Linked DNA regions of Caenorhabditis elegans. The protein of the gene in region 2 purifies or fractionates together with the protein of the main gene of each other region. This does not show direct contact. Each region holds a gene or a part of one and is shown on either strand. Other genes may lie near its edges. The genes, in order: srw-137, Y43F8B.3 and cpt-6.

The links.
Region 1: the proteins of Y43F8B.3 (region 2) and srw-137 fractionate together in Caenorhabditis elegans (co-fractionation; one large-scale study listed by BioGRID). This does not show direct contact.
Region 3: the proteins of Y43F8B.3 (region 2) and cpt-6 fractionate together in Caenorhabditis elegans (co-fractionation; one large-scale study listed by BioGRID). This does not show direct contact.

What each region holds. Positions count from the first base shown.
Region 1 is NC_003283.11:2,940,885-2,946,698, forward strand, and holds srw-137 (G-protein coupled receptors family 1 profile domain-containing protein), read right to left. Parts: upstream 3,076-5,814; coding exon 2,987-3,075; intron 2,935-2,986; coding exon 2,343-2,934; intron 2,296-2,342; coding exon 2,072-2,295; intron 1,942-2,071; coding exon 1,800-1,941; intron 1,756-1,799; coding exon 1,687-1,755; downstream 1-1,686. Other genes in the region: srw-143 (G-protein coupled receptors family 1 profile domain-containing protein), read right to left, coding at 1-477, 533-621; srh-87 (Serpentine Receptor, class H), read right to left, coding at 3,495-3,679, 3,729-4,241, 4,391-4,536, 4,587-4,798.
Region 2 is NC_003283.11:19,500,072-19,506,996, reverse strand, and holds the start of Y43F8B.3 (BPTI/Kunitz inhibitor domain-containing protein), read right to left. Parts: upstream 3,886-6,925; coding exon 3,693-3,885; intron 3,244-3,692; coding exon 3,162-3,243; intron 3,000-3,161; coding exon 2,893-2,999; intron 2,158-2,892; coding exon of another isoform or gene 1,744-2,157; intron 1,103-1,743; coding exon 938-1,102; intron 627-937; coding exon 434-626; intron 1-433.
Region 3 is NC_003283.11:6,488,584-6,496,974, forward strand, and holds cpt-6 (Choline/carnitine acyltransferase domain-containing protein), read right to left. Parts: upstream 5,339-8,391; coding exon 5,246-5,338; intron 5,032-5,245; coding exon 4,741-5,031; intron 4,695-4,740; coding exon 4,272-4,694; intron 4,133-4,271; coding exon 3,939-4,132; intron 3,140-3,938; coding exon 2,623-3,139; intron 2,572-2,622; coding exon 2,272-2,571; intron 2,225-2,271; coding exon 2,036-2,224; intron 1,861-2,035; coding exon 1,627-1,860; 3' UTR 1,503-1,626; downstream 1-1,502. Other genes in the region: lec-10 (Galectin), read right to left, coding at 1-10, 59-340, 408-428.

The DNA.
Region 1 (5,814 bases), about 17 Mb from region 2:
TGGTTTTGTGACGTTATATCAGACCCGAAAAAGGTGGCTATTGAAATTGGGCCGAAGATCAAATTTATACAAATCATTGTAAATAATGATGTTGGTGGGTGTGCAAGTCTTTCGTATTTTGGATTCATAGGATTTCGTATGACCAACGTTCTAATCAGTGCAATCGAGAATAGGAGCCATGTCGAAGATCGTTGGGAATGATCTTTGACAACTAGAAGGATTTTCTCCAAATATACGTTGAAATACCACTTTGACTGCATGCATGGATCAAATATGTATTCTATCGATGGACCATATGATTGTTTCATTCTGAAGAGCATTGAGCATATATCGAAAATTGAAATAAAAGCCATGATAATATTGATAGATGAACTCCGTAAAGGCTTTCGGATGAGAATCAAAAAATGAAAAATGTTTATGAAAATGCTTGCAATGGAGAGATAATGTTCATAGTTAAAAACGTGTCCTGATATCTTACTGAAAATGAAGCAAATTCATCTAACCATAAATATTTGCCAGAGCTTAAACTCACAAAAGTCGAGCCTCAAATTGGCATAGAAAAATTGCTGTGGCGTTATCATATCCTGGATAGTTTCTTTGGTAGGCATTGCATGTCGACATTTTGTTTCTGTTAGGGTTGCAATCCAAAAATCCAATTTTTGTTTAAAAGGTGGTGTAGTCGAATTTTTTTATTGCTTTATTAGACTCTGAAACGACCGAATTTCATAATGAAATTTCTTGAAAACTTCTCAAAAAAAAGTTATGACGGCTCAAAAAATAGCTTAAAACTGGTTAAAGTTTGAAATTTGACTTGTCAGCAGCTTGAAGCTGACTGTTTTGAAATCACCGTATATCACCAAAATTGGGTATACTAGTTAAATATCTTGAGTTTTCAACTCGATTAAGGCTTTTTAAAGTTGATGGACGGGAGATTTGATTTAAAAAAATGAAAAATTAACACTACATACTCAAAATTAGACTGTGATTTCAAAAAAGTTTTTAGTCTCCAGGTGCTGCAACATTGACAAGTCAGTCAAATTTCAAATTTTAACTAATTTTAGGTATTTTTTTGAGCCGTCATAGCTTTTTTTTTTGAGAAGTTTTCAGGAAGTTTCATTATGAAATTCGGTGTTTTCAGACAATTTTGAGTCTAATAAAACAACAAAAAAATTTGACTACACCACATTTAATGCCGGATGTAAGCCGTCCGGTTTTTTTAATTTCTCAGAGTGTAGTGGGGATAGTTGAAATTTTGTTTTTGTGAGTCAGGAATGCACAGTTAAATTAAATATTTTCACCAATTTAGTTGAAAATCAGAAATTTTTGGCCCAAGCTTTTGGAATAATTTGAAAGTTTTTGAATATACCTATGTATGTGAAACGGGTTTTCTCTGATATTTTGAACAAAGCGCGGAGCTGATAAAAACACAAGACAATGTTTTTCGTCGTGTTATTATGAATCAAAAGAAAAAATTCGAGAAAAATTAATTAGCTTCAAGAAAAAAAAACATAGATGTGTTAGAAATCTCTTTGATTCATCTCTAACCAGCTAGATCAAAACAAGATGTTCTACCGATAGTGAAAAAAATATTTATTCTTAAAACACTTGAATGAAAAGCTATACAAATCATAGTAAATTAACATACAATTGTAGCAATTTCCACTCGTCCTCGGCATTTTGTCAACCTCACTTTTTAAAAACTTGTCGCCTTGCAGAACTAGTGTGAGTGACTTGAATCACAGTTGCTTTGTTTTTCTAAATCTACAAAATGTTGCATCAAGCCTGAAACATACCCGAACCTGAGTCAAATATCCACAGGACACTACTTGCTTTGCAGCAATCCGATATTGAGATGACATGAAGAAGCAAACTATGCAGTGGGTAGCTGTATTTGCAGACAGGAGCAAGGAAAAATTGTAGTAGAAGTAACTCATTATTGATCTAAATCATAAAACAACCCGGTTAAAATTTAATAAAAGATATTTATCGCGCGGCCGACATTTCGCTGGTTGCATCAAAAACGGAGTTCCTCGATGCCTTAGTGGCGTCACTCAGGCAATGATCAACTCACTTCATTCCAGGAACATCGAGAAAAAACCAAGTTGCACCCAATGTTATTCCAAGCGGAAATTCGGCGATAAAAAACGTAATAGATATGTAGAATACCAGTCTAGTAGTTTTTCTAGAGTCATTTACATTTGCAGTGGAAGAAAGATTTTTTCGCTTTTTATCCGATTTCCAGAGCTCGACGACCAATAGGAAAGTTACTATCGGGAAGAGCACGCAGGGAATTATCTGGAATTTAGAAAACCCTGTAGTTAGGCCTAACGAAAAGAAATTACATTTGAAACGAGCCCGTTAACAATTGAAAATATTTTCAAATAATACCCATCATTATCCGCAAACATATCAGATATAACTGTGTAGTAAGTTGTTTCAGTTGAATTACAAAATGATGGCACAGAACTTTTCATTAGTTCATATTCCAGAGAAAAGACCACTGAAATCGGAAGACTCAAAAATAATATTCCGAGAATTGCAAAACCAGAGAGGGCAGGACCGGCTAATTTCTGGTAGCTTTGGTTCAGAGGATTTCTGATGACTAGTGTTCGAATAAGCGCGATGAGAAAGCAAAGCCACGTTGAACACCGCCGGGAATAGTCTTGGAGGACTTGAAACGAAGTTTCGATTATTACAAAAGTATATGTTTCACTTTGAAAACAATCGTAATAATCTCGGAGAAATCGCTCGACGATTTTCTTGAGTTCTGAAAAAAATGTGCAAATGTCTAAAATAGCCACTGCAGTCATAATGATATTTATGGAGGAGTTTCTCATAGATTTTCTTGTCAGAATTGCAGAATGTAAAATGTTTACCAAAATACAAGTAATTGAAATGATAGACTCATATGACAGAACTTTCTCTGTGAAAACTCTGAAACTCTCTGATCTTGAAATACCTTTCTTTTGATTTATATGACACTTACGCCAGATATCTTTCGATTCGGTATAGCCGACGAGCAGTAGAATGCTCAAAGCCCGGAAAATCAATTTGAAGATATTTGTCACTAATCATTGTTGTAAAACTAAAAACTTTTTGATATCAAAAGGAATGGAAAAACAGAAAGCCTCCAGAAATTTAATTTTTTTTTTTGATTTATTGCGGAAGGAATTGAAGAACGAATATTTTACTCAAAAGCTGGAACTAAAAAAAGGGAATTGTCTCAGAAAAATATATTATTAAATCGAAGACGGAAGCTGCAGAAATGATAATTATCCCTTAATTTTCAGGCTACGTTCAGACATCACTTTGAAGCATGGCCGGGTGGCAATTGCTCCAGCAATGGCCAAAGTTGTCAAAAATTTCCGATTTCAGCACATCCCTGTTGTGATATTTGAGCATTCTACTGCTCTTCGGCTTTGTTGATTTGTAGGAAAAAAGGTAAGGTTTGTAAAAAAACATAGTTTATTAAAAAAACTCCTTTTATGAAAAAATTATTTGATAACAATTTGAGTAATTACCACAGAATCTATATCGATATTTTTCAAGGGTTGTTTTGGTTTAGATTTCCAGAAATATGACAAAACGAACTGCCGATAAGGATGATGTATAATGAGTACAGCGACTGTAGATATTAAGCCATGAATTGAAGCATGAAGAATTGACAAATTGGTTAATGCTGGAAAATTGGTTTTTTGTTTAAATTTACCCACAAATTTATTCCGAACCTTGATTATAATAATTAAAATCAACAGCAAACCAAATATAAAAAGCGGTCGGTAACATGAACAAAACAGGAATTGAAATTTGTAGAAGTATGCTTGCCAAAAATTTAATTTGCAACTTTCTCGTGGTCTTTGAAGTAAACGAACGAATCGAGAAAAACAAATAGTAGACACAACATGTCAAGTAAAACAAAATTTGAATCACTTCTACCACAACTCCTAATACTGTGAAGGCAATTAAAAAATGAATATGATAATCATCGATGCACAATACAAAAATATTGGAAGCCGTGAAAAAGTCTTGAGAAGGACATGGAAGCCGTCTGAGAACTTTAAAGAGTGCTTCTTCCTGGTTTGCTGGTATGAAAAATGTGAATGATGCTGCGTAAAATACTCCAATCAGTAGTTTTGTTAGATAGTAAATAGTTTTCGTACTTTTCCGAGTTATTTTGAACTTGTTGAATGGAATTGCGTTATTCCGATTTTCTACCAATATTGTTGTAGATAATAACATGACTGAAACAATTTTTTGATTTTGTGAAATTGATTGCGCGCTGTGTGGTCTGACGCGATCTCGCTCAATGTCGGCTGCGGATTTTTAAAATGTATCTGATGGGAACTGTTCCAGCTTCCAGATTGCTACACTTCCGGATACCTAAACTTACAATTCAGACTCTGAAATGCCAGCCAAGCCTGAATTTTCGGTGGGACACCCAAAAAGTTCAACAAGCCAACTGAAAATCCCGTGAGAGTTGGAAGAAATATATATGGTGTCCCGAGGCAATTCAAAAACACATCCGCCAGACACGTCCTGAATATTTCTACATGTGCACAGTCAATGTTTGTGATGTGTATACTTACCAAACATGGAAATTGAAAAGCGGAATTCGATAGGTTGACATTTCCTTTGGGCTTTTGTATAGGATACAGTAACCTCCAAAAAGATAAACTGGAAGTGAAAATGCAGTCAAAAAATGGGAAGTGTAAGAAAAGTCTTGCCAAGAGCACAAAAACGTATCGCATCTTGGACATGTTGTATAGTTTGTTAAGTAATACTCACGGAGACTAGACATGCTCACACGATTTTCACAAAAAAAAACTGTGAAGTGAATAAACCCAGTTTTTTGGTCGATATGACAGTTGTTTTCTATAAACAAAAAATGACAAAAGTTTTCTGAGAACAGGATGACTCAGTTGGTTATCTCAACAAAAATAAAGACAACTAAGAACCTAGTGGAGTAAATGAGGAAGCACGGTCATTGTGAAACATCAAATACCCTCTGTTTCCAACCTACAAAAGCAATATACTCATATTTTCATAATTACTTCAATTTATTTTCATAATTACTCCAAAAACGAGGAAAAGGAAAAATGTTTTACAAGCTGTAAGTTTTGAAGTGAAATTGCCGAATACGTAATACTTCAGAATACGTTCGCCAAATTCGATAGAAACACAAATCCAGAATCAATAACATAACAGTTATACAAAAAAAATCTACCGCGTGTTAATCGTAAAAAAAAACGGTAGGGATTCCATGGGAGGCAGGCGCGGTAGGGCCTCAAGCCTGCTGCCGACCTGCCCGCAGGCCTCTCGCCTCATTTCTGTACCACATAGTGTGTAAGGTGGTTTTATCTCCGCGGCCGACACTTTTCAGGTTCCGCGCCGCACTACATGCAGGCGGCGCGAGGCAGGCGGAGGTAGCCGCAAGGCGGGCGCGGCTGGCATTTTGGCTCGGTTCGTGTCCAGTGGTGCAAATAGCCGACCCGATGTTTTCAAAAGTTGAATTTAATATATCGCGTTGGAACAGTATACATATATTAAAATTGACAATTTTTTTTCAATTTTTATACTTGATTTTTTTTTAAATTTTGGTTATGTATTCAATAATTTTTTAGAAATTCAATAGGTATTCAATTGGCTCCAAATATCCAATAATTTTTCAAGTAGCACTTCTTGATTTCTAATTATTTCCGTAGCACATTACTACTACTGCATCCTGTGAAAATTACCTGAACGCCTCATTTGTTGGGTTTTGTTTTTGAGTCAGTGTTTTTGAGCCCAGAGAAATTAAATTTTTGTTAAACTTAA
Region 2 (6,925 bases):
AAAAAAGAAAATTTTGAAATTTTGGGACGAATGGCGCAGTGGGTTTTTCCTTGATTTTCCTTGCGCCAATACGACCGGGGTTCGGCCCCCGCTGTGGTCAATTTTTTTTTTGTTTTGTGATTTGGAAAGAAAAAAAGTTTTTAGACAAAAAATGTGTGAATAAATTTAAAAAAAAAAGATTTTTTTAAAGAAAATTTTAAAAAATAGGAAAATCAATTTTCCTGGAAGTGAAATTTTTGTGCTAACTTTTTGTGCTGTAAAGTGAGTTTAAACAACATTGGTAATGAAAATTGATCAAAACCGCCAGAACAAATACATTTGTCCGAATGGCGCAGTGGGGTATCCCTTAAATTTCCTTGCGCCCACAAGACCGGGGTTCGACTCCCGCTGTGGTCAAACTTTTTTTAAAACTTTTTTCCCTAAAATTCATTACCTCTGCAAATTCGAGTTACCAATTCCAACATTCAACGGTTGTTGGCATCGATCGACGGCCGCCGGCTTGGGGCAGCACACGGTGGTCTGTGTCTGGGCTCCGACGTGGCAATAGCTTCCAGTACCACATCCCTGACCCGGAGCACACGGAGATAGTGTTGCACCACCGGTAACGGCACATGGATTCGGGCTTTCTGGAAATTTATTGATTTTTGGGGGATTGGGAATTATTGGATTTTTGCACCACCAGCTACCCTTTGCACATGCCATAGAGGTAAAGTTTTGTAATAATGTTGTGATAACCGACACCGGGAACTAGGCTATATGAAATACCAAAAAATATAGATATAAGAAAGCAAATAGAAAGGAAAAGATTAAAATTTGAAAAAAAAAATTCGAAACATTTTTTTTTTCTTCCAAAAATTTTTTAACCAAAAAATGTTAATTATTGATTTTTCGTAAATATTCATGCATGATTAATTAGTAGGGGGTGCAGTTACACAACCTGGACACTGTGCTTGACACTCTTCAAGCGTCTGGAAGTTATTGCGATTCCCGCCGGTGCCAAAATACTGGAATTGCTCGCAAATCCGGGAATCCTTGTTGAAAAAGAAGCGGGGCAGTTGGACGGCGCCCACGCCCGGTTCCTTGTCCTGAGAGCACGGATCGACTGAAAATGAGCACACACTGATTTGAGGGGGCGAGTGAGTTTTAAGTTGATGGGGGGGGGGGGGGGGGGGGGATTTTACACGAGGAATAAGCTGTTGAATATGTGGAAAACACAACAACACACACATCTTGATCAGAATTTGTTTGAAAAATCTGAAAATATCGATTTTTGGCAAAAATGTTTGAATGGCGCAGTGGGATTTTCCTTGACCCCACAAGACCAAGGTTCGACTCCCAGTGGGGTCAAAATATTTTTATTTTCTGTTTTGTACTAGGAAAACTACTTTTGAGCACAAATGTGTGTAAAGAACACTAAAAAATCTAAAAAATTAATTTGTTTGAATGGCGCAGTGCGATTTTCCTTGCACCCACGAGACCGGGGTTCGACTCCCCGCTGCGGTCAAAATTTTTTATTTTGTGTAATTTACTGAAATAACTTTTTTCAGAAGCAAACAGGCAATAGATTTGAATTTTTTAGCAATTTAATAATATTCTGAGAAAAAATGTGACTTAAAAAAATTTTTTCCAAATTTTTTTTTGTAAAATGTTTCAAAATTTTCACAGCACACAACAAAAAAATTTCAGGTAAGAATAAAAAGCAATAAAAAGCTCAAAGCGACCAAAAACAACACTGCTAAGAACCTGTTGAAAGATAGACGACAGGAGGAAGTTGAGAAGTTGATGACGTCACCATCATCGTCGGTGGGGGCGTGGCCAGTGTTTGTGGCTCGGCGAGCCCACTAACTCCACACGAATTTCGGCACTTGAACTCCGACTCAAACTGATTACCATAGCCACCCAGTCCCTTATAAATAAACTGTCGACACTGTTTCGCCGGAGCGTCGTAGTAGAATCGGAGGAGATTCGAGCTACCGTAACCCTCGGAGTACGGTCGGAAACAGCACGAACAGAGGACGGGCGGCATGGAGAGGTAATGATTGAGAGGATTCGGTTGAAAAAGTACGTCGATTTGTGTGGAAGTTGGTTGGAATACAGAGAGTTGAGGTGTCGAGAAGACTATTTGAGAAGAAGTTTGAGAAGTTGTTTGCGAGGATGCTAGAACACTTTTTTTATACAGTTTAATTTTTTTTTACATTCAAAATCCTATAATAAACAAGTTTTTACGCTAAAAACCACGAAAAAAAATTCGTCCGAATGGCGCAGTGGGATATTCCTTAAACTTCCTTGCGCTCTCACGTCCAGGGTTCGACCCCACGCTAGGGTCGAATATTTTTGTTTTGTGTTATTTGCTAGAAAAACAGTTTATAAAGATTGTAGTTTATGTGGAACCAAAAAAATTCTCAATTTTTTCTGAGAAATTTGATGAAAACTGAAAACTTTACCGAGTTTACCGAGTTTACCGAAAATTGCTCGGCGATCAAGTTAAATTTTACGTGAATTTTGTTCGATAAATTTAGTTAGCACTAGTTTTTAAACAAAAAGTTACGAAAAATCGATAAAAATGTTTTGGTCCGAATGGCGCAGTGGGAATTTCCTTGGGCCCACAAGACCAGGGTTCGACCCCCAACTTGGGTAAACATTTTTTGTTTTGTGTGATTTGCTAGAAAATGTAACAAAAAAAAATTGGATTTTGGGGTACAGTACAAAAAACTGAAGTTTTGCACAATTTTTTCAAGACATTTTTGGGGATTTTGAGAAAAAATGAGCCATGTGGCGCAGTGGGAATTTGCCTGTAAACAGAAGGTCTTAGGTTCAATCCCCACTAGGGCATAATTATTTTTTCTACATTCTGCAAAGTGAAATTGACATCTAAACCCGAAAAATGCTCACCTTCGCAGGTCGATTGGCACGTCTGGAACGTCTGGAAATTGTTTCCGTTTCCACAGCAACCGGACCAATAGAACAGCTCACAACGTCCGCGGACTGGGTTATAGTACCTGAAATTAGGTGAAAAATTGGGTTAGTTATTGATTTTCAAAAATTGGAAAAGTTTAGAGATTTTCAACAAAAAAAATTGAAAAATTTGAAAAAATTTTTTTTTTTTTTGAATATCCCAAATTTTCTCTTTTTTCAAAAATTGAAAAAAAACAACACATTACCATCTTGGAATTCTGTAGGGTCCAGTTCCAATCTGACGTGGCAGGGTACAAGATTGTCCAGATGGAGGTTGTGAGCGGCTGGCTGAAAAAAAAACTAGACATTTTACTAAATTTTTATTATGAAAATCAATATTCTCGTGCTAATACCTTAAAAATGACACCCATATCGAGTAGTTTCCGTTAATTTTGAAATTTCAAACAATTTTAGCTGGAGATACAGTACCCGGCGTGGCGGGACCCAAAATATCAAAATCGGCGGAACCTAGGCATTATGGACGTTACTTTGAAGCGTTTGTGTGTCAGATTATTAAATAAACTAGAAGTAAAATGTATAAAGACTGAGAAATTAATAAAATTTTAATTTAAAAAAATGTTCAAAAAAATTGTCAAAAAAATTTTGAGCTTCTGAATTTTACCCCTATCAACCAAGCTCCGCAGAATCCGAAAACTTTAGAAATTTTCGAACACCTACAGTACCTATCGTGCCAGGACCCAAAATTGTAACAATCCTGAATCTACAAAACCACTTACATGGTGATGAAGCAGTCGCATACTGGTGATAACTGATCGGAGGATTATTTTGTGATGAAGTGGCGGAGTCGTTGGTCTTCTCAGGTTCATTACCGAAGAACATTGTCTTAAAAGAGCCGATGAGGCTGTCATCGGCTGCTCGAACTGCCACCACGGCGCATAGTACTAAAAAGAGCCACCTGAGTGGAGGCATCGTCCTGCAACAAAAAAAAATTGAGGTAAAGTATTAAAAAAAAATTCCATATAAATTTGAGAGAAATTGGAAAAAAACTGACTTTTTGAAAAAAAAAAGTTCAAGAAATTAACAAAAAAGTGTAAAAAAGCTGACTTGGTGAACCGAAAAAAAATGTCTCCAAAATTGAGCCTAAACCTAGGCCTATGCCTAAGCCTAAGCCTACGCCTAAGCCTAAGCCTAATACCCAATTCTAAGCCTAAACCTTAGCCTAAGCATAAGCCTAAGCCTAAGCCTAAGCCTAAGCCTAATGACCAAGCCTAAGCCTAAGCCTAATGACCAAGCCTAAGCCTAAGCCTAATGACCAAGCCTAAGCCTAATGCCCAAGCCTAATGCCCAAGCCAAAACTTAAGCCTAAGCCTAACCTTAACTATAAGCCTAAGCCTAAGCCTAAGCCTACTGACCAAGCCTAAGCCTAAGCCTAATGACCAAGCCTAAGCCTAAACCCAAGCCTAATGCCCAAGCCAAAACTTAAGCCTAAGCCTAACCTTAACCATAAGCCTAAGCCTAAGCCTAAGCCCGAAAACTTTGGCCCAAGAGCCTAAAACTAAGAAACGAGCCGAAAACCATTTGTACAACTGATAAAATGATATTAGAGTAGGAGAACATTAGGCAGTACACACCCTTGATGAGTCACTTGGGTGGGGGGCTCGATGAGCCCTGAACCACTTGACAAGACACGCAATTGTTTATTGACGAGAGGTATTAGATTTTGGGGGGAGGAGGACGGGAAAATCTAGGCAAAACTTGATTTTTCGCAATGTCTGGGATGGTTTTTTTGGAGGTGGTGGGAGTGAAATTTGAACTTTTGTGGGAGGGGGTTTAGGCTTAAGCTTTTCATCAAGCTTGGACTTAGGCCTGATTTCAGGCTAAGGGCTTGAAACTGGGGGATTTCCTCCTGGGGCTAAGGGCCTGAGACTCAGTGCCTACGGTTAAAGGCTTAAAGGCTCGGGACCTGGGGCTAAATTGAAGAGTTGTTTGGCTTAAATTCAGTCTCAGCTTAGCTGAGCTAGCTATTGGGTCAGAGTCATTGACTGGGCTTAGACTTAGGACTAAGCCTAGTATTAGAGAAATAGGCCATATAGGCTTAAAGGTCACAATTGCAAATTCTGGTGAAAAGTAGGCTCAGGCCAAAGATAAGCCTAAGGCTTAGTCTTAAGCTTAAAAATATATTTCGGACAGGAATATGAAAAATTTCGGTAAAACTTGATCCAAAACCTAGAAAGAAACAATTGAAAGCACATGGTGCAATTGTTTGAAAAGATGGCATGAAATGATAAAGGCGCGAGAGTTGGTATGTGCTCCCGGCTTCGGAGCACATACGCCCCTGCTGCCTGACTAGTTGAGGGGTCTCTACGGGAGATACGTCACGTAGGGGGGAAAAGCTTCCGCGCGGAACAAAAAAAATTGGAGTGATGAGTGCAACTCCTTGACGCGACGCGTGTGTGGTTGGGGGAGAAAAAAAGAGCAAAAAGTATTGGGTTAGAGTTGATGGGAGCTAAATTAAAAATCAATTGTTTTCGAAAAAAAAACAGGATGCTCATTGAAATTTGATTATTTTGTTTGACCTGATTCACACAAAACAAACTTGCCAACTAATTAGGGCGCGGGCCTGAAATTCGATACTGTTTTTGGGGTCGGAATGTGCATTGTCTATGGAAATGTGTTTTAGTGGCAATTCAGAGAAATGCGGAGAAAAAATTCCAGAATATTACAGAAAGTCAAGGAAATACGGATATTTTTTAGGAATTTTTTGTTTTAATTTTTGAATTTTTTCAAACTCAAAAAAAAAACCTTCAGAAAATTTCAAAAATTTAAAAATTCGATTTTTTCGAATATAATTTTTGCAAATTTTTTTTATTTTTTTTTATTCCAGAAAATTCAAAAATCGTGAATTTTTTTTGAATTGCTCGTTTTTTTTCCATTAAATTTTCTGAATTTTTTCAGAAAACCTGAAAATTTCAATTTTTTTATTTCAGAATTTCTTGAAATTTCTCAGATTTTTCTGAAAAATTCATGAAACTTTATAAAACCTTGAATATTTTGAAATTTTCCATAAACTTATGAACCTTGCTCGGTTTTCATGAAATTAGAAAATATTCCCAAAAATTTCTGAAAGTTTCATGAAAGTTTATGGAATTTTTTTTTTGAATTTTCACAGATTTTTTTTAGAAATTTGTTGTAGTCTTAAGTTTTTTTCTAACATTTTCAGGAAAATTCAGAAATTTCCATAAAAATTCAAGTACATAAATTCAGAAAATGCTGAATTTGCTAGAATTTTCCTGTACATTTTTGAAAAATTTCAAAACTTTTAAACTGAATTTCACTGGATTCACCTATTATTTTAAAAAACTTCCAGAATTTTTTGAAAATTTCATTTCGGATACTTTGGGAATTACTTTTTTGTAATTTTTAAAAATTTCTTAAAATTTATGAGATCTACAGAAAATTTCAAAAAATTCCAGGATATTTCAAAAAATTCAAAAAAAAATTTTTTTTGTATATTCTTTCTGTAATTTTCGGAAATTTTCTGAACACACCAGAAATTCTCATAATTAAAAAAAATTCTACTTCGAGTAAAATTATAACATTTTGAAATTTCAGGAATTTTCTAAAACTTCAAAAAAGTTTATGGAATTTTTAATTTTCTGGACCTTGTATATTTTTTGAAAGCTTCAGGATGTAATTTTAACCTTTTTTTTCTTAAATTTTCTAAATATTTCAGAAAAATTATGCTCCAAACAAGCCCAAATTACTGGCAAAACTTAATTTTGGAAATGAAAATTCGAGCTCAATCAAGCAGCTTCCTCAACGGGCTCAAAATTTTCACCAACAAGCACATTGAGCCCAACCTTACTAACCTTACGGTGAAAGGAAATGAAAACCAAAAATGAAAAGTGAACGGCCAGGCTCCTTCAACATTCCCACGATTCGCGGAAGTGCGACGGCTCTGGTCAAAGACAATTTTTTGCACTCGAGCCGCCTCAAAATTCACGTCGGA
Region 3 (8,391 bases), about 13 Mb from region 2:
TCACAGAGATCTGAAATTGAATACAGTTAACTATAAAATTAAATACGTTAAAACTTACATGGTAATATCCAGCGTGAACCTTGATGCTAAGGTGGAAGTGCTCCGAGTGGTGAAGTGGGTTTTTGTGACGGATTTCTGGTCCCCACATTCCACTGAACTGGGAGTTCATGACAACGACGTGTTCATGATGGAAACGGAAGTTGACATGAAGAACAACATTTGGTCCGCTCAAAAGCTCGACGGCAAAGTTCTTGTGATGTCCGTGACGAACATGTCCGTGAACAGAGATGGTGGATCCATCTTGAAGTGGCTCGAAGATCGAGAGAGCGGTTGGGACACCCTGAAATTTGGTTTATTGAAAACTTGAAGTTTCCAAACTGGAAAATTCTAGAAAATCAAAAACTCACGGGGTTGTGATAGGAGTGCATGTTAGTTGATAGTAAGACCGATTGAACCGATAGAGAAGTGAGGAAATGCCACGACTTTTATTCAAACTCTTATCGATATTTCTATGACATCAGGCGAGTTTTATTTGCTTAAAGACTAAGAATCAATGGGAGGTATCAGACACACTTCTACATTTGGGAAATCAATGGCAAATAAAGAACTGAATAAGACTAAAAGTTGGAATTCAATGAAAGAGGATGTAATTACTCAACTGATGGGGAAGAAAAATCAAATTCAATCGTTGCGTCTGATTAGGAATGAAATGTTTCTGTTAATAATTTGCAAGTAATCAGCTCGAAGCATAATTTTTTGTTGGTTTATTTTGTTTTTCAGCATGACGGAACATCATTTTGGAAATACAAAAAGTTTTAAATATCAAGTTTTGTCTAATAGAGGGTATAAAAATTGTATTTAGGTTACAGATCTAAATGATTTCTCACTATCATTACATCATTTTACAACATAATTCTACATACAAATGCCACGAATTTTAAAAAATTAGATGTTAAATAATGTTTTGAAAAGGTGTTCAGATTTCTGTAGTTATGAATATGAAAGGATTGTTGTCCTCGAAAATGTTTCGTTACGTTTGTTAATTTGGATTAGTTCATCTAGAAAAGGGTGCGAATTCAAGTCACATCAACAATTTGTCAGCTAAACAAATAGTCAAGTTTGCAAACTTTCCAGAACTGTTTCCATGATTTCAAAAACCTACCGAAAAGATTGGCAAAATTTCATATTTAATCTTAAGAGATTTAAGTTTCAATTTCATTCATTTTCAGATCTTTTTCCATCTTTTTTGGTGCACTATAAAAACCGTTTTTTGCAGTTTTTGTGCTAAAATCATCTTTCCATCGGCACACACAACGTGATGCTATCAAAAATGAAATTCTCGTACAATTGCCATTTTTGATCGGAAACTCTGTTTGACATTTCACCAGTTTTACATGAGTCATAGTCTGGTGTACACCAAGAATTGAGCATAGATCGTGAACTGGTCATGAGTCATTTCAGGTGATTTTTGAATGGGTCATACACGAGAGAATTTTTTATTTAATAAAAATTATTTTATTGACTGAGTGACAGTAATATATGAAACAGGTTAGAATGATAGTGCAGAATGAGTTCAAATTGGTACAAGTTATGGGTATAAAACCGTTTGTTACAAAATGGGATGGTTCAAACGAAAAGGTTTGAAAGTTCGTGGAACGATTCGGAGAGCAACTTTGCAAACTTTGTTGAATCAGTGTTGGCAGCGGAATGATAACTTGTGATGTTTGCAAAGATTCCGTGGTTTCCTCCAAAGCGATAGCAGATTCCGTAGCCATCAGCAGCGACTGCTCCGAAGCATGCTCCGAGCCAAGTGTTGTCTGAATCAGTGTCCTCGTCGCATTGATTAGTCACGTTTGGAACCTGGAATAGGATATGTTCAAATTGTAAAGTTAAAAAAAAAATAATTAGGAAAATCCAGAAAAAGCAATTGTTGAAAAATGTTTGAATTAAAATCCTTCAGCTCATTATTAGAAAGTTACGTGATACAACTGCCAAATACATAGCACTATGTCATCTTATTTTAATGATTACTCACATGTGAGGTAGATAGCTTCCACTTTTGATTAATATAATTGTCAAGGAAAGGACTCTGAATCCCCGTTCCTTGAGATAAAATATACAGAACAAAGAGATGACGATCGACTCCTTGCCCAACCATACACTTCTTGTTTCGAAGAACATGAGTTTCACAAGCTTTTTTCAAAAGAGCAATCTTGGCTTCTTTCTGAAATTTGAATTTTTCATCGTCTTAATAACTTCAAATTAACTTACCGTTTCATTTGCATTCAACATAGCTTCCACAAATTCACAAGAGTGATCGTTAACTGTTCTCAAAGTTTCGGTCCTCGAGTTTGCAAAGAATCGAGCTGATGCTGGTTCATATGTGAGCACAAATTTGCCTTGATCTCGATAGTTGGCAAGTTGAATAGCCATTTGAATGAATGCATCTGGTGAGACACCACACTTCTTGATACGTCCTTTTCCAAAATCACGGAATGCAAGGGCATACAGGTCAAGGTCATTCTTGGCGATTTGATGAGCATCGTAGCAGCGAGTGATCTCGGAGAGCATCTGAAAAATGATTATTTTGACCTGAAAGGTAAGGCAAAAAATGAAGCTTACCTCTTGATCTGGAACTTCAAAGTTCAATGGAGTAGCAAGCTTCAGAGATTTCTTATCATTCTCTTCAATAACTGCCATTTTCTCTTGCTCTTCAATTGATTTGTATTTCAAAACTTCCAAATCTACATATACAAAGTTTTCCATAATATGATCAAATTCTGCTCCATCCGCAATAGAATGCTCAGTTGTTCCACCGCATCGAGCATTTTTCGAACAAATATAATTAAGAGACTTATCAACCCATCGATTAGTTCCATCTCCAGAAAGACAATTGGCAAGGAAGTTGCTGAGAACTTCGGGTTTCTTCTCATCATATCCATAATCATCATTCTCATCGAGTGTGAAAAAGAATACAGCACACTCGATTTCCTTGAGGATTTGAGCATTTTTCACGTTTCCAAGGAAATACTTTTGACGGTTTCTGTGCCAAGAGTCCCTGGTATCGTGGGTCAATGCTGCGATTTTTCCAATAACCCCTTCCTCCTTCTCGTCTCGGGAAATCATTTCGTGGAAAATTCTAGAATTAATTATTTATATTGATTTTTAAAGCTTTACTTGGAATTTTTATTAAAATGTTTGGCAAGTTGCTGACATTAAATTTTGAAATTTTTAGCATGTTTTTTTGACGCTTATATGCATCTCAGTTCAAAGAAATTTAAAAATCAGTGCACATTTGAAACTCCATATTCACCATTATTCTCAGTTTAAAAAAAATTGAAAATCAGTGCACATTTGAAACTCCATATTTTCCAAAATTCTCAGTTTAAAAAAATTTGAAAATCAGTGCACATTTGAAATTCCATATTTTCCATAAAGATAACCAAATGCGTTTAAAATAAATTTTTGAAATTTCGTGTATATATAACGTGTTTAAAATTTAAATATGTAATTAACTCTGTATTTTTGGCTACCCCCATTTTTTGAAGTTTCAGTAGTTTTAGCGTTGCTCTAAAATAAATTGTTGCTGAGCTTATACTTTGGAATTTTTAAGAAAAAATGGTATTTAACAGTAAGATGTTCGCATTTTTCAGCATCTCTGAATGAGTTGTTTTTAACAAAAATATTTGAATTCAATTTCGAAGATGATATCGGCAGTTGCCAAAGTTAGCAAACGATAAAACTTTTAGCAACTTTTTTCTTCATAGCTTTTGATGAGCTTTTAGAAAATATGCCATTTGCTTTACAATTTCCATTACACCATATGCAATTTCCTGGTTAGAATATTTTTCCAACTTGCGTCTTGCGACTAATATAATAAACTCTGATGTTATAAAATATCAGTAGTGCAGATCCTTTTTCGATTAACTTTTACGTACTTCGTCAATTGTTCCACAGTGTAGATGTTGTTCTTATCATCAACCACGTGAATCTTATAGTATTTTCCACGCAACACCACTACAATGTGCTTCTGAATTCCGTGCAATATCAGCTGATCAATCTTCTTCCCTGGTTCTCGGGTTACTGCATACATATTTTTGTAATGTCTGGTGCAGACAAGTCCGTCGCCAAGCTGGAAACATTCATATTGATGATAAAATGTTATCAAAACAATTGTTTGGTTTTTTTCGGTGCAAGATTGCGACGTGTAACATTCACTGATAAGAAATAGGGCAAAATACAAACGATCAGGAATCACAAAAAAAACATACCGCCTTGTACTGTTGACGATCAATTGCAAGATGCGACATGACTTCAATCCAGGTTACTCGAGCTGCTCTGTGAGCTCGTGTTGCTTCTTTGTCTCGGAGCAAGTCACAATGAGCAACACTGCTATTAATCATAAGTGGGTATCTCCCATGAAGATATGCATACTTTTGCCAGAACGAGGTGACATAGTTGTCGGTGAACAAAGAGTAGATCCACGTGTATCTCTGAAGCTTCTTTCCCTCGTTTTCCAGAAACTCATGTGCTTGCTTGGCGACAATCTCGTACTCTTGTTCTGATAGAATATGTTTCATGGAGTCAAGGTATTCAGAAATAGTGTCTTTGAGAGCTGGTACCGGGAGACTCGGAAGAAGGCGATCACAAGATTCAAGGATTGGTGGGGAAATTGAGAGAATGTGTCGGACAATCTGAAATTTGAACAATAAATTCTGATGGTGTTACAAAATAACTTACACCCCAAATTTTCGTTTTCAAACATGGCTTCTTTGGGTTGTCAAACAAGAATCCTTTGTATGAGAAGTAGAAGTGCTTGAGAAGTTTTCGAAGTGTGAATACTCCTGCGTAGGATCCAATTGCCGCGACTGCAGTGGTTTTTGCAATTTCAGCAACTTCCGATCCGAACTTTGGAAGAAGATCAAGAATCGCATTTTCTGGGTATTTGTAGTGTAGGGTGGCCGCCAGAGCAACGGTTGTGGCAACGAATGGAATCGGTTTGATAGGCCAAAGTGTGTTCTCAATCCAATTCTGAAAATATAGATACTTCATGGTTGTTTGGTAACTTTGAAAAAGGTAATGTTTTAAAAAAAAATTGTTTTCTGTGTTTTGTTTCCTAAACTAGATCCAATTCGAAATTCCAAATTCTACCCACTTAACAACTAGTTTTTCTCTGACTTCCCACAACACGTAGAAAAGGTCAATTGAGGTAAATTAGCCAATTTTCTGATTTGATAAAACTTACGTAGGTCTTGTAGGATGCTTGTTCAATTGGCGATGGGAATTTTGTTGGAAAAGGATATGGTGAACGAACTGTTTTCTTTTTGTTGGACGACATCTGAAATTATGGTAAGGTTTTTGAAATTGAAGAGTTGAAATTGGCAGGATAGGTAATAAAGTTTAGAAGGCTGCAGACGAAAAAACAACAAATTTGATGAACGTGAGTGATGTTGTGGTGATAAAATTGGGGGATGAGAATCACAAAAAAAGAAAACTAATTAATCTACATTATCAATTTAACTTTGCCTTTTCTCCAGTCTCCGTCTACACTTATTGCTGACTTTTTAAAGGAGAAAGATCAAAATTGTATTCTGATCGTATTCTAGTTGACTTTCATTCTCATAATCTTATCGATAGGAAACAAAATATTTCGAGAGAATCATGTGCTGGAAACTCTTCAAAAAATGGCTGAGATAAGAGAACGATGGCTTTTGAAGCAAAAAGAGTAGAGTACAAAGTGGAGTAGAGTGAGCAGAGTCTGCTTCAAGCAAAAAATAAGATGAAAAACGAGAGTTTTGTTCCGTGTTGTTGAATGAGCGAAAAAAAAGCCTGAGCACAACAAATATAGGGTTTCTAAATCCCATCAGAAAATGGAGAGATGTAGAGTGAGAAGGAAATACGGCATATTTTATGAATAGAATTTATTTTCTGTCAACCAAAATTTGGAGAAAAACCTGCAAATAAAGCATTGCGGAAAAATAATTTTTTAGAAAAAACCCGTCATATATTCTTCAATATGTTTTTTATTTGGAAGATTTGAAAAAAGATTTCAGTTTCAAAATTTTTGAAAGGCTTTCTGAAAAATTTTGTAACACAGAACAAATATTATTCCGGAAAAATCAAAAATTCTAGTTAAACAATATGCATTTCTAAAAAAAATTTTACTTTCAATGCTTTATAAAAAACAAAAACAAACTGAAAACAAAAAAGTAGAACACGTATCTGGAAAAGAGGAAAAAGGCAATATTGAACACCATATGGTGTGCACAATTCTAGTCGATAAAAGGAACAATGGGACAAAATCTAGATAGAAGGCCGATCAATATCTAGATTTAAAGGGGTCGTAACTAGATTGTAGTCAGACCTGTGAGGTTTGGTGCAGGTGGTTTGAAAGAATATGGTGCAATTTATCTACTAAAAATAATATATTTTCATTTTGGAAATAAATTTCAGAAGTAAAATAATAAGTTGGGATATCAAGAGTTTTTGATAATTTTAAAAGAATTGGGAGTACTGTTTAAAACCAGTGCTAAAATTACCTACTATAAAAAAAAGTTCAAACATGCCGCATTGCTCCAAATTCCTCAAAAAAACCTGTTTTAAATTTGGTAAAATTGGCTATTTACCAAAATTTTTCCTGAAAAATCTGAAAAATCCAAGAATTTTCGGTAGTTTTAAAATGATATTCGATTATTTCAGATTATCGTACGAGTATATAGATGATATTCCCTGGTGCAACTCTAGATTTAAGTTTGAAAGATCTCCCAGCCCTATCAATTGTGTCACCTGGAAATCGAGCAAGCTACAAAAGAACCCGCCAAAATTCAAATGAAAGTTCAGCTTAAAAACGCACTGGAAAATTATAAAAGTACAATAACCGCCGGTCAAAATGTCGACGAAAAATATGTCCGATAACAGTTTGATGTAGAGTAAGGAAACACACAAGCAGGGCGAAATGATAGAGAGGGAAAGTTTGTCTGGTTGACCTACTATCGGAGAATCTTCACTGCAGGCGGTTATGAGAAAATTCGTGGATGCAAACACAGCTGGTCGAAATGGGAAAGCTTTAGGGTGCTACGATGTAGCCTAGGATTAAAAAAAAAGTTTTTATCAGATGGGAAATATTTTAAACTGCGGGTAGAATCCCTTCATACTGTAGCTTAAAATAATTTTAAAAAAGTAATCAAATATGTTTCTTGGAATTGTTTCCTGCACGACGGTATGTAAAATAAAATATTTATTTCATCAGAATATCTTTTTTACCTTACAGAAAGAGCTTTCCACAACATTTCTGATAATGGAAAGTGCACAAACTTTAAAAAATTAGTAGATCATAAACTCAAGCTTTTCCCGAATAATTCCAAATAAGACACAATACTGGGGCTGCACTTGTAAACAATTTTCAGAGGGCTGTTTTGTGAAAAACCAGATTACCGTATTACCTGGACTAATAAAAGTTAGAATTTTTTTCATATCCTACGAACAAAAATCTCAATTATTTAAATTAAAACTTAAAAAAGGTAGTCCTAAGAATATCAGCTACCCGGGAATCAACATGAGATACTGTAATTTGTTCCCAGCACGGCGAAACTTTTGATATGACGAAAATTCTCACTTTTAGACGTCATCGTAATAACAGTTTGCACAACTAAAGTTTGTCCCTGGTTCTTGACTACCAAGGAATTTAATTTTTACCAAAGTTTCAGTAATCTTGAGCAATTTTTAAATCTTTAATTAGTTCAGTTTGTATTGCTGTCCTGCTTTAAAAACATTTGTTACCAGTTCAAACTGTTTTTTCCAGATTCCACAATGTTCTTAACCCATGCTTCTTCAGATGGTACAGGTACAAACATAAGTACAATACTGGATACTCTCCACTCCTCAGACATCATCATACTTCTCATCACATGCAGGAAAAAACAATTCGATGATGAGACAAGAGTACTCGTGAGTCATGAACAAAACACTTAAAAACACCTCTAACCAAAATCTTTTTGAAGACGTTCATTTTAGAAACACTTATTTCATTTTTGGTGAAAATTCACGTCGATGCGATAGAATATTTTACTTGTTTCTAATTTTAAAATTATTAATTTCGAGATTCGAATATTAAGCATTCCTTTAATAGTTGGATAAGATTTATTTTGAAAAGTATTTAAAAATAAAAATAAAATTGTTTAAAAAATGCGAACTACGGTCAAAATCGTTGCGAGACCCTGGTGGGATAATGCATGCTCCTTTGTTACAGTAACCGGTGGGTGCCGAGAAAATTTTCCTTCACAGTTTCTTTCTCTCTCGTAAAATATCTTTTTGATGGCTTTTTTTTATTATGTTTTTTGTTTTAATTTTTGACAAATTTGAAGTTAAAAAAAAACAAAAACTTTCAAAATA